4 linked regions of the Schizosaccharomyces pombe genome follow. Changing the gene in region 4 together with the main gene of any one other region gives a genetic interaction. Each region holds a gene or a part of one and is shown on either strand. Other genes may lie near its edges.

Evidence for each region.
Region 1: mutations in rgp1 (region 4) and sap14 together harm fitness more than expected from each alone (negative genetic interaction), as found in Schizosaccharomyces pombe (one large-scale study listed by BioGRID).
Region 2: mutations in rgp1 (region 4) and bud20 together harm fitness more than expected from each alone (negative genetic interaction), as found in Schizosaccharomyces pombe (one large-scale study listed by BioGRID).
Region 3: mutations in rgp1 (region 4) and tas3 together harm fitness more than expected from each alone (negative genetic interaction), as found in Schizosaccharomyces pombe (2 studies listed by BioGRID).

What each region holds. Positions count from the first base shown.
Region 1 is NC_003423.3:2,049,452-2,052,505, forward strand, and holds sap14 (Pre-mRNA branch site p14-like protein), read right to left. Parts: upstream 1,318-3,054; 5' UTR 1,245-1,317; coding exon 1,001-1,244; exon of another isoform or gene 908-1,000; coding exon 807-907; 3' UTR 546-806; downstream 1-545.
Region 2 is NC_003424.3:4,902,918-4,906,295, forward strand, and holds bud20 (zinc finger ribosome biogenesis protein), read right to left. Parts: upstream 1,317-3,378; 5' UTR 1,260-1,316; coding exon 1,183-1,259; exon of another isoform or gene 1,124-1,182; coding exon 826-1,123; 3' UTR 501-825; downstream 1-500. Other genes in the region: sst2 (AMSH-like ubiquitin-specific protease), read left to right, coding at 1-84, 129-300; yip11 (SMN complex subunit Yip11/Gem2), read right to left, coding at 2,591-2,782, 2,857-3,205, 3,311-3,378. UniProt on the Schizosaccharomyces pombe protein: Involved in pre-60S ribosomal particles maturation by promoting the nuclear export of the 60S ribosome.
Region 3 is NC_003423.3:1,513,454-1,518,058, forward strand, and holds tas3 (RITS complex subunit 3), read right to left. Parts: upstream 2,727-4,605; 5' UTR 2,676-2,726; coding exon 1,026-2,675; 3' UTR 553-1,025; downstream 1-552. Other genes in the region: rpl4302 (60S ribosomal protein eL43), read right to left, coding at 1-67, 130-286; anaphase-promoting complex platform subcomplex scaffold subunit Apc15, read left to right, coding at 3,274-3,381, 3,449-3,751; RNA-binding protein Yme2, read left to right, coding at 4,215-4,605. UniProt on the Schizosaccharomyces pombe protein: Has a role in the RNA interference (RNAi) pathway which is important for heterochromatin formation and accurate chromosome segregation.
Region 4 is NC_003423.3:3,854,206-3,860,565, forward strand, and holds rgp1 (protein sat1), read left to right. Parts: upstream 1-2,013; 5' UTR 2,014-2,148; coding exon 2,149-2,491; exon of another isoform or gene 2,492-2,781; coding exon 2,782-4,091; 3' UTR 4,092-5,811; downstream 5,812-6,360. Other genes in the region: DNA replication factor C complex subunit Rfc1, read right to left, coding at 1-1,310, 1,371-1,430, 1,479-1,597, 1,666-1,737.

The sequences.
Region 1 (3,054 bases), 1.8 Mb from region 4:
GTATGGCATTTTAATGTTGAGCAACGTTCAGTCGTTCGTCGTTGGCAAGTTCAAGATGGTGTATCTACCACTCATTTTTGTTTGGACCCATCTAATAAGTATTTGGCAATTGGTAGCAAGAGTGGTATTGTTAATATATATGACCTCCAGACATCCAATGCGGACGCTGCACCAAAACCTGTCACTACATTGGATAATATTACTTTCAGCATAAATAGTATGAGCTTTTCTCAAGATAGTCAAGTTTTAGCTATCGCATCTCGAGGAAAGAAGGATACTCTACGACTCGTTCATGTTCCCAGCTTTAGTGTGTTCCGTAATTGGCCCACCAGCGCTACGCCTTTAGGCAGAGTTACATGCCTAGCTTTTGGTAAGGGTGGTGAGTTATGTGTTGGTAATGAAGCTGGAAGGGTTGGACTTTGGAAACTAGCTCATTATGATTTGAAGTTTGTGCCAGATAAAATTATTAATTGGGAAATACGGTTGGGCAAATTTGGATACGTTTTATTAGGGATTCAAATCTTAATACTACATGTAGACGTTGTTATATTATAGATCAATGCATTACATTATTATTACTAAAAAGCTTTAAGCGAAATATAATAAAATTCAAGTCCTTATAGTACCTTTTTTATACCTAGGTTCGAAACACTAGTAAACGATTGTTTAATATGAGCCGATTCATTTTTCTGCTGTATGTTCTCTTCAACAGAATTTATAGAAAGAGGAAATCTATTACACGTTAATGGAGTCAATATCAGACTCCTAATTTGTTTGTTTTTTTTTGGTAAATAAATAGTAAACGTTCACTGAACACCGTATTTTTGCTTAACTTGTTCCAAGGCGGCATACCTTGCTGCCAAATCTTGACCATCAACCTTAGCTCTTTCAGGGTTATAATAATGCACTAAAAAAAAAGTTAACAAGAAGATATTAAAAAGCCGTTAGAAAGGAGAAATTAAAATTAATAGTAGCTAATACATTCCCTAAGATAACGTACCAACCAAGTATCTATCCATGAAGTTGTAGCCAGAAAGCTTTTCGCAAGCTCGACGAGCGTCTTGAACGTTTTCATAAACCACAAATGCAGTACCTCTTGTTTGAACCGTATTCCCCAGCCTTATTTGTCGTACAGGACCATACCTACCAAAAAGATCGTACATCTCTTCTGCTGTAATTTTAAAAGACAAGTTCTTGATGAATAGGATAGAATTGACTTCTTGATTAACTGTAGATGGAGGCATTTGTTATTTTTACGATCTTAACACTTTTTGTTAAAAAAATCAAATTTCGAAAAGAAATGATTTGGTTTGCTTTGGAAAGGATAAATATTCCTAAAAGGTTGGTTGGGATCAGATGGAAAATACTCGTTATCACAGCTTGGAGATTGATGTTGTATAGTCAATCCTATACGTGAGTTTAATTATAGTAGAAAAGATTGAGACATGAATATTAAAGGTTACGTTTCGTGGTTTGGACAAGAAGAGGTATATGCTGGGAAATCGAATGGACCAACAGATCGTAGACAAAACGGTTCAACCTTTTACCAAAATTTTCCTCTTCTTTTACCTGGTAACTCCAAATGTCAAATGCAATCCTTAGTTCATGAGATCTTTGATCAGAGTTGAAACTGACATGGCGGTGATTTCAATAGAGAGTCAATTTAAAGTGATTTTCAAATTATACATAACTAGTTGAAAATCATAAACATTTTTATTGGTATTTTTTGCTTCCTCGTTTGTCTATCCTACAGGAAATAGGTTTCAACTTTAAAACTGACAATTGCAAAGAATAGTTTGATAGTATAGTTGTATCATCAATTTATATTTTTCCTTATTTCTTTACTTTCTTTTAACTTATACTCTTGTTTGGCAATGGGACTTTTATCAAGGAAACAATTTGGTATCATTGATCTTTTGCCTACAGACCAACTAGTTCATCAATTTCTTCTCAAGTTCTTTTGAAATTTCTTAAATTTTTTATTTCCTGATCCCAGAAAACTACATCTGCAAAATTAATGATTCATTTTACGCTTCCAATGCCATGCTTTCGTATATAAGTGATAGCAACAGAGACACTAAAGGGAAAGGATAGCTTTGTTGAATATGTGGATCTTACTGTACTTCATTTTATCTAATTTGAAAGATTTCTCATTGCTCTTTGCTTACAACTGCTCTTAATTGAGAATGTGCTGCATTGCAAATGCTGTTTTGAAGCAATTTAGGAAATTACAGAAAAAAGAAACTATAGTAGCGTTTACAATTTCGAAAACTATACTAATAATTTTAACTAATGAAGCTAGCTATATTCATTATGATAAGCAGGAACTAAGTATTTAAAAAAGTAAATAATGTTGTACAAAAACGAAATAAACCAACTAACGTTAAAGTACGAAATTAATTGACTCATCTATAACCGTTCTTTATTTTTTTTATTTTTTCAATGAATAAAGCTATTGGCATTGATTGCTAATCTGGTTTGATATATGATATACATATTTTTCTTTTTGAAGTATTGAACAATTCTTTTTACGCTTCTAGTAGATTAATTACCATTTACTCTTTTTTTAAAAAAAATAAATAAATAAATAAATAAATAAAATTTTGTATATTCAAGTGGTTTCTGCTCATTAGCCTAATTCGCAAATAACTCTAGTTTAACATAAAATTTAACTTGACGAAATGCGAAAAATGTCTTGTACGACAAAATTTCAAGAGTTAGGATTGAGAGAAGAATTAAAAAACAATAGAACAATAAAACTATTGCACGTAACCCCTAAAACTTGTTGAAATTGGCAATGTTGATTAAATACCTATATCTGAATTAATTTACGAGAGAAAAAAACCTAAACGAAAGATTAATAAAAGCGCATATTTAAGGAAAAATTTTTCTATGAATAATTTCTCTTTTCATCCATTAATCGCCTTCTTGACCCATTTCTTCTCTTGTATTTACATTTTCATCTTAAGTAACACGTCACCTACATCAAGCATCCAGGTAGTCATCGTGGCAAGCATGAATTTGCTCTTTCCCCATATTCGCTACTGAGGTGTG
Region 2 (3,378 bases), on a different chromosome or scaffold from region 4:
TAGCGTGGATTTGCATACTCATTGTTCATACCAGCTTATGCTACCTGAAGCTATTGCAATTGTTATGGCTCCTTCCAAAAATACGTAAGAAAAAAATTTTTTTTTCTACATATATTAACGACTTTTAGCTCTGGCATCTTCCGTTTATTAGATCCTGAGGGACTACAAACTATAGTCAAGTGTCGAAAACCTGGGCTTTTTCATCCACATGAGGGAAAAGTTTATACGATGGTTGCTCAGCCTGGGCATGTTAGAGAAATTAACTCGAAACTTCAAGTTGTTGATTTGAGGGTTAAATAGGTAAGGATGCAATAGTAACACTTCTTTTATTCTATTATTGGTTCATCTTACAGACGCCAGGCACTTATGAATTAACTAATGGTATTTGTAACATGGTAGTGGCTACGGAAAGTTCATTATAGGAAATGAATCTATGCGTCTAATGAAACGTTCTTTGATGAATTTGTTTTTTTACGAGGATTTTGTTAAATGATAGCGAATGCGTTATGAAAAAATTATCAAAAAAATTTTATTTATTTAAAACACCATGTATCCAAAGAAACCAAAATAACGTGAAGGTAGTTTGAGATGCTCACTCTTGAAGCTAGATTAACATCCAGTAACCAATGGTAAGGTATTAGTTGTAAATTTGTAATCCAAACATGGATGCAACTAAAATTACCAATAAACGCTGCTAATGATAATATAGCAGAATAAATGAGAATGAGACATATAAAAATCTGTTTAAATAAAGAGCATGCGCTACGAATATGGAACAAAAGCAAAAGTGCTGACTAACTTAGCATTCGTAAATGTGTCTCTAGTTTAGTCCGCCATGACAACGTTACTATTGTCAGCAAGCTTGGAAGCTACACTCTGTTTTGGCTGTCCAATATTCACCGCAGCTTCTGCTTCTTCTTGTGTATACGGCTCTTCACGCAAATTTTTTAACCTTCGTTTGTGAACCTTTCCCTTCTTATGCACCAGCAATGCTTGAGACGAGTCAAAGTACCGTGCACATTCAATGCAATAATGTTGACCTAAACCTGGCAAATCCGGATCTATAGGTAATTTATCAAATTTCTCAGACTCTGTTAAGTCATTGTGAATCTGATCTAAGTCTCTATTTGTCCAATTGTTAATTTACCAAACGATGATTGAATGACCATGAAATTTGCATACCTCCCATAAACACGAGTTCTAAACAAAGCATGATTTCCATTGCTATGATGCTTTCTTTTTCTGGCAACTCTTCCCATTGTCCGTCACTTCAAACAAACCCGTTTACCACAATTACAATGTTAGTTGCAAAGGATAAACTTTTTTAAGCGTAAACACATTCAATATCCAAACGGCGTAATGTGTGCTATATCGTATAGTGAAAAATAATTCTCAAATAATCTTATTTTCCTATCGTAGTTTGCGATAAGTTTAATAACGAGAAGGAAAGCCTCGTTATATAGTTGAAAAGCAAGAGAAATGTATTAGATATGTATTATTGATTGTTCTGAATAGCTCAAGTAGCGTAAATTTTTTAATAAATAAATATTCGTTCAAAATTTGGGAGAGCATGGTCAAAGCAAGTTGAAATGCATGCCTTTGAAATTGCGCTTTTTAAGCGACGATTGCTCCATCGTTTGACAAAACTTTGTAATTTAAGGGATGTTTAGCATCGGAATTTATTAGGGAAAATTGCTTTAGGCGTGATTCTTAGTACATGGCAACTATAGAAGAAATGAATTAACATTCAGTAGCTTTCTGGCTTTAACTGCCACTATTTCATCAAAGTCTCGACAAGTTGACGTTTAGTCGAAGGAAAGAAAGTATTCACGTAGCGAGATCAGAGTCCGCTTATCAGCAAGGAAAAAATTGAGCTCTCCATTTAGACTGCTATACTGAAGTGTGAGCAATTTTAGTGACATTTAGTTTTACAAAAGGAGCTTGATTGCTCGAACTCAAAAGATTCAATTAACCACGAAGGGGTTCTTGGCAGTGAGGTTGTAATTATTTCTTTTTTATTTTATCTTTATTTGACTTTTGTTTTTTCCCAAAGAATAATTGCAATGTTCAATTAGTTTTGAATTTGAAAAACCTCATATGGGTAAAAAATCACTCGGTCGAAAAAGACAGTAAAAATTTATTAGTTAATTTCGTAAGATGGGGCGCGAATTAAAGAAAGTTGCTAGTTATCATGTAATAACATAATTGAAACCCTCGATTCGACAAGTATGCAGACAGCAAAACGAATGCACGTACTAAACAAATAGTAAGCCATTTTTTGTAAAATGAAAATGTGAATCAATAAACAAATAACTTTGCCTATCTCAATTCAAACGTGTTTTTTTAAAATATATCTATCGATTTGTAATAGGCAAATTGTTTATTGCAGCTATCTCCAAGCTTGCTTAATCACATGTTCAAAGATGCAAAGCCCAGCATATCCGTGTAGCATATGTTTTCATTCAAAAAAGTAATAATATCCTAAAAACATATTTAAAACAAGCTATCAATTTTAATTTTTTCCCTATAAACAAACGTATGCTATATGAACATGTGTACCTAAATTTTTTTCGACCAAGATTTATAGACTCTATGTTTGAAAGAGATCTTTTTGTCCATATCGATAAACTAAGACTGCTTGAAGGGCAGATGCTGACATCTGCAGAGCAGGAAAAGAAGTATGCGTACTTCGTAAAGACTTGAGTACTGAACGTAGGGTCGATATATCTTCTCCATTCAAAAGCTCAGGAAGTTTATAACAAAAGCAAAAAATCCATTGACTCTAGAAAAATGTTAGCAAATTTTAGAATGAACAAAAATACACCAGCAAAGTAGCATGAGATCCTTGTTACCAACCTGTAAATCAATTGCGTCCTTTTCAAGCCAGCTGGACAAGCTTTCTAGGATCTCCAAAACAGTTGCCAAATCAACCACTGCTAATATGGCCCAACAAGGAGCTTTATGCTCAATATATACACGCCATTGTTGTAAATTTTTAGGTAAAATAGATGCGTCCAATGAAGAAGATTCCATATATTGCTCAAGCCTTTCCCCTTCTTTATCAATTATGTTTAGTAAGTATCGTAAAAACGGGTCAAAGCTTTTTTTGCCGGCCTCGATTTCCAATTTGCGAAGAGGAATGGTTTCTCTTGTTTCAGGCTCACGACGCGCCGCTACAAATGGAACTAGCTTGCGAGCTTCTTCTCTGAACTTGTCAGTAAAAAGCCCAATTATTGTTACAATGATTAGATTAAAGCATTCATGTTGCAAATTTCGATTTTCACAAAAATTCATATATAAATGTTCGTACCTCACAGTTGCTAAATAATCTAAACCATCAAGTGGTATATCATATTCCAAAGATTCTGAAGCACTATT
Region 3 (4,605 bases), 2.3 Mb from region 4:
GTAGTTACAGTCCAAGCACCACCAGCTAGAGTTTTAGAGCAACCTTTACCGGAACACTTCCAGATACCTATACATAAACGTTAGAAATAATTCCACACAAATCTAAAGATCCCAATGACTAATACATACCAGCAGCAGTGCGCTTGACAGTCAAACGGCCGCAGAAAGGACATTGGTAACGAGAGTGTTGCTGAACTTCGATTTTGCGAACATCACGACGCAAAGATGCACCGTAGCGTACACCGTACTTGCCAGTGACACCAACCTTTTTGGTACGCTTGGTCATTGTGTTGTTGACAAGTTACAAAATTGGTTTCAGATGTTCCTACTCGCAGGTGGATTACCGTGACTGTTTTCACTAATAGGGTAGGGTTGTTTGGTTAACACACTCTGCGTCGCTAATTTATTAAACGCATCTGTGTAGTTCACTAATTATTTGCAAAAGTTTATTTACTTTTACAATCATGTTAAAAGATTTACAGCATGCTTGAAATATAAATAAATTAAATTTACTATTTATATTTTTGTTCATTTAGTTTATCGGTTTGTCTTAAATGAAACTTGTAGCGACAAGTAAATATATATTAAACTAAGTAATAAAAAGATCAAATTATTAAATGAAAAGCTAAAAATTAAGGCGCTCAAGCAGTTATTTGAGAATAACAAAGTATCAATTTTCACTTTCTTCACTATTTTCAATATTAGTTTAAAAGGTGAAGCAAAACGTGTACAACAATCATTTAGGTCATAAACAGTTAACATAAGAGATATAAAAGACATTCTAAAATTGGAGAAGTAAATTCAGAAAAATTAATGTTTTAAAACTCATCGTGCCTTCATTAACAATGGGGATTAGTAATAGAACAAAAGTATGGAAGCATTAACAGAAGTGAACGATGAAACATATGTATGCGTGATTATTGAAAGAATTTGAAGCCTTAAAATATTCAAAGTTACTAGAATACATCATGAAAAATGAACATAGCTAACTTAGTACCAGGTGTACTTGAGTCAGTAAACTACTTTCATTTTTCGTTTTTATGCTCTAAAATTGAAGCCTCTTTCAAAATTTGGCTCGCAAAATCTAGAGACAAGTTCTTTCCTGTTACCAATTTATAAATCGAAGATCCTACCGCTTTCGCAAATGGTGTTTGTTTTTCGAGGTTGCTCAAAAACATAAGCTGCTCAGGCAAAGGTTGGTTCTCTTGAATTGGAAACTTTTCGGAAGCGGAAAATACCAACTGTAAGACTTGAGAAAAATCGATCAATTTATTATGATAATGGGGAATGACTTTTACTAAAGCTTCAGCGCAAGAACTATTGGTTTGAAAAAATGACAAAGATTTTAACCAATTAATGTAGAGATCATTTTTATCAGTAGTTAAGGAAGCTAGCGGGTTATGTGAATCAGAAGCGTTAAGCTTTTTAGTTGGTAGCTCATTTTCTCTGGATTCACGTTGACGATCAGAGGCTTTTCTTTTACGCGACGAACCTTGCATATTAAAATCATTGGCATTCCCTAAATGAAAATGGGCTCCATGGTCTGATAAATGAGTGCGATCTTCAAAATTTTGGTTGTATACATACGAAGATTTCTCCAAATGCTTACTTCGAGGCCCTGTATCTCTATTATCGTAATGTTCTCGTTTGGACCTATATGAATCTGAACGACTATCTGGATGGTAAGAATCATATCGTCGATGATGATTCGATGATCTTGAAACCTGAGTGTTTTTCGGTTTGTCGTAATCCTCTTGTTGTGAAGGCCTATTGAAATTGTCAAGATTTATACTCTCCGCCCATTCGTTTTTGTAATGTTTTGTATCATCTGTAGAGCTCCAAGAACCATTAGTTTCGCCCCAACCATCATCCAGGTTTCCCCATGAAGCTTCAGGATCATCGGGGGCAAACCAAGAGGATTTTGCTTGATACTTCGGACGAAATTGTGGATCGCTATTCGAATCAAGCTCCATAAACATCGACGTATCGGTATGATCAAGAGACTTAGAAGATTCACGAAATCCAGTAGAATTATCATCCCAGCCAACAGACTTAGAGTCAGAACTGCGAATATCATTTTCACGAAGTGAAATGCTTTCATGCAGTCTAGAAGATGACTCTATTATTGAATCAGAAGTAGAGTTGTCCCACGATTCAATCTCCATGCTTCCTGAGCTTTTATCTAAAAACTTGTTTCTGCTTTTCCGATGTTTGCTTTTTTTCGTTTCTATAGGTTTTTCAAATTCAGTAACGGAGTTCTTTCTTAGTTGTTTCGACTTCACTGGCTTCTCCTTTCCATCCGTAACGAGTGGAAACTCAACATTAGATGATGTGTATTTTTTTGAAGCTCTTACCTCCTTTGTGACTCCAGAGGAAGTATGGGTTGCCTTTGCTTTAGCAGGACTGTTCTTAAGTTGCTGTGGGAAGTCAACAGCAGCCAGCAATTTCCTCTGCGATAGCATTTCAGAGCGGCAGTAAACTGCTTCTTCAGCTAGTTCCTGCCTTTTTTCTCTCCTATTTTTTAGATTAGAAAGCCAATGTTCAGTGAATAATTCGTGAACTCGCTCTAGCGAAACAGTTGCTGATCGCCGAGATGTTCCATGATTTTCGGGAAAGTCTGAAATACAAGCTAAAAACGGTAAACTTGGAAGATATTTTTTGATTCCTTTCTCCATTAAAATCGTAGCTCAAATAGGATCAAAAGCTCTCATTAAATTATAGTGGTTAGGAGTAAGTTAAGAAGTTTGATGAGTATGTGTAACATTAGATAGTAAGGATATTAATCGAGATACATACAGGTATCTTTTTTCTGAAATTTTGTATTTGCAAATAATTGAATCCTAAAAAACCCAATTTAAAGTACACCTACGTGAAATTGAAAAGAGTAGCCAGTTTCAATTACTTAAATGCTGAAACTTGAACATGAAACGTTACGGAACATAAGTATTTCTTATCCCTTGACCTCTTCATTAAAGGAAAATAAGCATTTTGATACTCTTAGTTAATAATCTTGTTCAAGCGTTGCAATAAACATTTCAAATCAGTCAAAAATAAGAGGAGAAATAAGTTCAACAGCTTTTGTTAATTAATACGTGAACCAAAAATTAACACGAAAGTTAATTTTGTGGCTTCTCAGCATTGCTTTGTGTTTACATTTTTTGTTTATTGTACAGAACTGGGTTAGTAAATAACCCAGTCACCATAGTAACGCCTTTAGTCTTACAATACACCAGCTGATTCTTGAATACCAATATTTATTTGCAGCATAAAATCATGTCGTTTATGTCGTTGATGGCTAATACAGCCCATCAACTATGGTATCCTACGTCTTTTCCTTCTATGAAAGAATTGGAAAAGGAAGAAGTTAGACTGGAGACTCAGGTATGTTTGTTTACGATTTTCAACGAGTTTCTGTGCATGAGAAAAGTCTAACTTGAACGAATCTTAGGAGCTTGCAATTAAACAGTTTGGATTTCGCACTATTCGGCCCATTGGATTAAATAGGTCTATGCAAGAGCAGCTTGATTTGGAAGAGCAAGAGCGCGAAGAGGCTAATCAAGACACTGAGTTGGATGAAGAAGAATTGGGAAGTGGGAGCTTTCCTGAAGAAGGCGAAATGGACGATATGGATGGTGATAATGAAGAAGTAGAAGATCACGATATTGAAGAAGTCGACTTGGATGCTGATATCACAAATGCTGACGCCTCTGAATTTTACGAAGATATAAGTGAATACGGATTTCAAAATTAAGGCTTTAAAAATAATAATATCGAATCAACCATGATTGCTAAAGCTATGCTGCTGCATTACCCGATTGAAAAATGTATGTACAATCGAATTTATTCCCATAATTGTTTACGAAAAAAGAACTTGAAGATAATAACTGGATACACAACCTATGCATGCTAAAAGGCTATCAACTCTTTATGATTCAAATGACCCATTTGATTCTACTGTTTTGAATTTATTTAACGATGTCTAAATTTACAATGCTAATTTTATTTAGCATTTTTAAGCAATGTTCTTAAACCACTAGCCTTTTACATCATTGACAGATCCCATTTGGAATCCTGACTTACTGTTAACCGTATAACTTAAATAATCATTTTCTTGGCTGTTCGTTTTTGGTGTTTGAATATTCATATTGGAGTGCAACAAACCGTTGTGTATTTCTTAGACATCGTTGAAACTAATTTAAAGCCTACCCGAAACTATGAATTTGTTTCTATCTCGGTTCACGGGGTTACGAAATACTTCATTTTTGGGTCATGCACGACCGTTTATGTTTCCACGTCGCTATGCTCATTCTTTAGTGGCACATAATATTGGTCATATCAAGCTAGATCCAAATGAAGGTCTTTTCTTCGTGGATAATCTCGTCAATACTCCAACCTATTTCTACATTCAGCGATACACTGCGTTGCTCTTTCAGAACAACTTGAAAAAGCAGCTAAGTGCTGCTTTTCCAAGCTCTGATACAATGCAGTTGGAAGATATCATATTCAGATGGCAAGATGGAGGAGCATTTTTAAAAGTACGTTACAAGGAATTCCCACAAGATACAGAAGCGGTTTCAGAACACGTCCGTGAATCATTTCGAAAGC
Region 4 (6,360 bases):
GGTCATTGCAAATACAAATAATTGGTATCATGCTTTTTTTAATAATCATATTCAACTGACCAACGCCTCCACGATCACCCGATGACATGCCATCGATTTCGTCCATAATGAGTACAAGTCGGGACTTTGCCATGTCAACGGGGTTAGCTTTTGTGCCAAAGTAGCCGGCAAGTGATTGACTATCTGTCACACCGAACAGCTGCTCATCTAGCAAGCGCTTGCTTCTAGTGTCACTAGCGTTCAGTTCCAAAACATCGTAACCTTCTAATTTTGCTACCAAATGAGCAGCAGTCGTCTTGCCAATACCTGGAGGACCAGAGAGTAATACGGCTTTGTATAGACCCAGACCATCAGGTCCAGGTTTATTAAAGTTGGACTTCCTGTTTTTGTGGTAATCCTGTAGCCACTTTTGAAGTTTTTGAACGACACCCTTATTACCACAAATATCCTTTAAAGAAGTTGGCGCATATTTTGAAGTCCATATCTGTGAAGGTTGTGATTCCTTTTTATTACTATCGTCCATTCTCGCAACAGTTTCAAGGATTTTCTTTTCTTCTTGTTCCTTTTTCTGTTGAGCAGCCTGAGCCGCAGCACCCGTTCCTCCTGAAGCAGGAAGATGAGTTATAAGATAGAAGAGTCCATCCTCGTTAATAGCAGGAATCTTGTGTTGTTTAATTGTTTCCACTTTTCTTGGACCAGCATTCTCACCTAAGAGAATAAAGTCTGTTCTAACAGAAGGTGCACCTGTCACTTTTCCACCATATTGTTTGATCAGGTCTGTAGCCTCTTGTCTAGTTAAAGTCTCTAGAATTCCTGTAATAACAAAGCTAATTCCCGAGAGACAATCGCTATTGCCTTCAGGGACGGGTTTTGAGCCTGGAGTTTGTGTTGTAGCCGCCCGTTCATAGAAAGTACCTGGAGCCATCACACCCATAGAGTCTACGTCAATTAAAGGAACATTTTTGAGGGCTTGGGAAACTTCGTCTGAGAACCTAGGTAAGCCTTTCGACTTGCTAGAACGACTTGTGTGAGTTGTCGCAGTTGTGGTATGAGATTTTGACTTTGAAGTTGTCGATTTTTCTGCTTTAGGTTGAGCAGGTTTACGTGTAGCTCTAGTTTGATGGACAACTGGCTTACTGTCTGAAGTGGTATCCAAGTCATTGGCAAAATTTTCTGTTTTTACAGGATGTACGACATCTTTGGAAGTAGTAGTTTCTTTATTGGAGATAATCCGCGGTTTAGAACGTGACCGAGTAGACTGTTGTTCAAAGTACTCATCAGGTGTAGTTGAAACTCCATCTGAACCGACACTAAACAAAAATTCAAATTAGCGAACAACGCATAATGAGGTAAAAGTAAAATAAACATACAGTTTATCGTCTTCATGAACAATGGATGGCAAAGAATGGGAAATATCTTCCGACTCATTACTAGTTGGAGGGTTAGAAATATAAACTGATAACCCGAATTAAACGAACCGTTTTTGCACTTTGCTTTTGGATGCAGGAACTTTTGAATTCTCTATTGTACCATCTTCATCATCTGATAAAACGATTCTTTTTTTCTTCAAACTCCTTTTTGGTTTTGGGGAAGTAGGCTAGACAAAGACGTTAGAAAATGAATGACTAGCTTATCAAATTTGACTGATTGAAGAAACAAACATACAGTCGGTGAGACTTTTGGCTTTTTTTGAGCGTTCCCTCCTCCAAAGAAGCTTCGAATGTCAGAATTACTCATTTCCGACGATGAATAACAATTACCCAATTCCTGAGAAGCTACTGTCTAACTTCCAAAAAAGCAGTGTATGTATGTATATTGGGCGACAATAGCAAGGAATGTGACAATTTGCCAAAAGCAGAGAGTTAACAAAGCTTCGTTAAAACATTCGTAAATGAGTAAATTAAGGAATAGTAAGGAGAGTGTAAAAAATTGATTGTGGGCGTTCGTTATTTAATCTCGTAAAATGAGTCGTGGAGGAAGAAAAGTGGGCTCTTTTACAGTACTATTTTGATTGTGCATTTGTTACGAGACTAATAAACGTTCGTCAATACGAATGAAGAAATCCAAGTTGTATGGTTATTATTAAGGTAAAGCTGAAGCCAGCGGCTTGAGAAATTATCGAATATAAGAGTTTAGTGGTGTTCGACAATGACAGAATGTGATGTGCAAATGTACATGCCAGTGAATGTAGTTCAATCCGGAACTGACTTTGAGTGCATTGTAAAATTCACGAATCTAAGGAGTTCAGAAGATGTAAATTTACTTTTGTGCTATGCTTCTATCCATGGTGAAATGTACCTTGACTATGTACTGGTGCGCGTTACAGAATTCGATGAGGTTCAGAGGCAGGGGCTCTTAAACAAAAGGACAATGAGCGGATTAGTACATATTCCCAAGGTATCCAGCAGTTATTCTGTTATTAATACTCTGAACGGGATGATTGGAAATTTATTTGGAGTTAAACAAGCAAGTACATTGACAGAGGCCTCAGGTATGTAATGGTGAAAGGGTGCAAAAGGAAATAAAGACTTGGTAAAAAAAATCTCTCAATTGGCTTACATTTGGAGGGAAGATATAGCTCGGAAGAGTGCTTATACGGTGAGGTGGACATAAAGTCAATTGACGAATTACAGAAAGGTTGTCTGGGAAGAGTTTTGTAATTCATTTGAAACATATTTACTCTTTATTCAATTTTTTTTTTTTTTTTTTTTTTTTTTGGAAGATGGTTACTCTTATTTTTACTGCAACCTACTGCTTAAGCATGAATACTAACCGATAAAGAACAAAAGCAGGAAAATGCCATTCCAGTGCTACTGACTCGTCCAGATATATTAGGAGTCGATATCACGCTTTCTCCTGGAGAGGAAAAATGCTTTCGGTTGAAGCGAAGAATTCCCCTTCGAACAGCACCTACATATAAAGGATTGGCCTTTCGATTTCAACACGCACTGGTCATAGGAGTCCAATCAGCTACCAACAATGCTTGTGTAGAGCATGAATTTGAAATTACTATAGTACCCAACGTTCAACAGCAACCTGAACTGCCACTCGGAAAGAATTCGGGAAACAGACAATCCTCGAAGCTGTTTGCAGATTTATCCAAACCGATTATTGAAACAGATGCGGCAGAAATTGAAGAGGTTTCAGCAGAGAAAGCACGTAGGCAATTCGGTAAAAACGGTATACGACTTTCGCAGGATGCGCAGGAGGAAGAGAAGCAAAAAAAGAAATACGAGCAACACATAAAAAAGCTACTTGATGGAGAGTCTAATGAAGAGGGAGGAGGAGAATTCCAAGATCATGGAATGAGGTCAGAGATCAATGAAGAAGTATTAGAGGAAGAGGATGAAGAAAAAATTGCGTTGTTAAAAAAACTCGAATCCAAGCAACCAATGGCCACGAGGTTTGAGATTACAAGCAAACAAAAAGTGTTATGTCGATTGCTTTTGAGCAAAAGCAGATATCGGACAGGAGAGATGATGATGATTGAGCTAGAAGGACTGGACGCGATGGTTCGACAAGTGCATATGCAACTTGAAAGTGTGGAGCGTATTGTGCCAGACATCCGTATACGCAACAGCGTAGGGACGGAGAGGGCGACGCGAAAAGTGTGGTGTAGAATTACACGGGGAGTGTTTGAGTTGGAAAACATGAGCGCTTCGATGGTTGTGCCGGAGGAATGTCCGGAAACATTTGAAACACAGCAATTTGGAGTGGAACACTTTTTGCGGGTGGAATTGTTAAGGGCGGTGAACAAGAAACGTGAGATGCAGGGACCGGCGCATCCCCGATATAGTGAAGAGGTGCAGAGTCCGAGTCGATCGAGATACAGTGAAGAAGTACAGAGGGTGAGTGAAGGTAGATTGAGCGAAGAGGTAAGCAAGGAGGAAGAGAAGAAAGGAGGGAGGGAGAGCGGTCAGCACAAGCGAATGGCATCGCTAACGAATTCGCGAGAGATGCAAATCCAGCATGCACCGACAACGTTTGCGGCAGAGACGATTCAATGTGTTTTGCCGATTCGAATTGAAAAGCGAGTTGTGTGGATGGAAGATGGAATGGAAGGAGGGATGGAGGGGATGCAACCGGTTTAGCCAAACAATTGAGTAATCCGATCGTTGATCAAATCAAGTCTCAAAAAATTTTAACCAGCTCATACTCCAACCTTGCTAACGTCTGCGAGAATGGATGATTTCGCTTTTGCTTTCCATTTTGAAAATTCAATCCATTACCGCACCGTGCTCTCTCTCGTACTCCCCTCATTGTGCAGTAAAGTGGGAAGCCACGAAAAAAGGATATAACGATTGTTTGTGAGAGAGAAAGAACGAAAGAACGATGGATGATTGAAAGTGTCGCTTAGTTTTAAGATAACGACAATTCCCTTGATTTCGCAATTCTCCTTTTGGGTACTTTAGGCTCCCCTGGCTCCCTAACGATGCTTTCTTGTAGCGCTGGCTCTGGTGCGTGTTTTTTTGCGCTGATGCTTGATATCAATCATGTCATTTCATTCTATGCATTTAGGGGTTCGGACACTGAGTGTCACGAATGCAATCTATCATACAATATCAAATTTCCAATCTCTCGGTAACTTTGTATGCATTATTAGCAGACAAGTGACGTTTTATGCAGTAGTAGCAGTTTTTGCAATGGAAGTAGTAAGCCAGCAAGCAAGGAATGGAAAAGGTATGTTGTATGTGTATCCCCCCTTCCTTGTCTGACCTGACTTGGCCTAACCCTGTCTTAACGCAGCCTTGGCTTTCTTCGTTACACAATGCTATTTCTATTTTAAGTGTGTTATACTGGGTTATGCTATTCTCGAAGCCAATCTTGCCAATGTGAGCAAGTGAGCCAATCTCGGAAAAAACCTCCCCGTTCCTTCCTTTACCGCCGTGCAGTGAGAGGTGACGTGAAATTGAGATCATTGGTGATTGGGAAGATCAGATGGTTTTGGTACGACTTTTCTTAAAATTGCCATTTTGTCCATACCGTCAATGCCAAGGAAATTGACTCGATATCCGTTTCGGAACGCCCTGATACTACGTCATTTTTCAGGGTAGGGGTGAAGTCAGTTTTCTCAAGGGGGCACTGCCCCACATGGGCTCTAATGGACATCGGTGTTTTTTTTTTTCATCTTGCGGCACCAGTCGAGTCAGTTTGACCAAATTGGCCTTGAAAGATGACTGACCTCTTATTTGTCGATGACAGCGGCCCTCATTGACGATGACGACACTTTTTTGGAATGAGTGAATAAGGCGCGATAGTGTTTTCTCCTATTTGGTGATATGGAAACGGTGCGTTTTTCTACGCGCATCTTCCGAAGAGGTAAGGTTTGGCTTTCGAGACCTAAAAGTCATTCTCCTATCAATCGCGTCATGTTAGATTGTTGATGGGCCTTGGGCAGTGGGAGGTTCTTGTAGGGAAAAATAGCACGTTGCAAGAAGGACGAAAGAGCACAAGGAGGAGGATCAGAGAAAGAAAGAAAGAAAGAAGAAAAGAACAAATTCTTGCGCACTTCACTAAATAGATGGTAGCGAAACATATAAAAGAGGCTAGACATAAGAGAAACGCTAGACTTGGGAGAAACGCTGGAGGTAGGAGGAACGCTAGATATGGGAAGAGTTGAGTAGGGAGAGAGAGTAAAGAAAGAATGAAAAGGAAGATTAGAAGAAGAAAGAGGGATAGAATAAAAAGGAAATGGTTTTATTCCTGTTGAATGATTGAAATAGTTGTATGAATAGATGCAAATAACTATCATTAAACATATAAATAGATGCAAATACAAATAATACTAATAATTTAAATAATATTAACAATACAAATAATTTAAATAATACAAATAACTATCATTAAACATCTAAATAACTCGCCAACTAAACATCCAATTCCTATTTATAAACATCGAAACAACATACATCCGTATAAGAATGAATCTTGAGGATCCTTTTCATTATAATAGTATAGTTTAGTAAAGTAAAGTATAGTCTAGTATAGTATAGTATAGTATAGTATTTTCTTTTCTTTTAGATTTCCCCTTGACATTATCGACTCTTTTCTTCGTTTATTAGTAAAGCATGTATGTTACATTAAATCAAATTTCATTCGGTTTTTCTTTTTCCTTTATGTGCAGCGCTCAACAAAGGGACAGGGATGCTATGGACTAAAAATCGTGCTGATGGAAGCGGCAGACATTACAACGTCACCTGCAACGATGCCTTATCATATGTGCGTACGTGTGCAAATCGAGAATGGGATCGACGGACAAAAGAGATGCAATTTTCTTCTCGTCGCAGTAGGAGCGAGCATACAGCGATCGGGTGATACTTGGAGAATCAAGTAGGGACGAATGAAAGTGTGTATGAATTT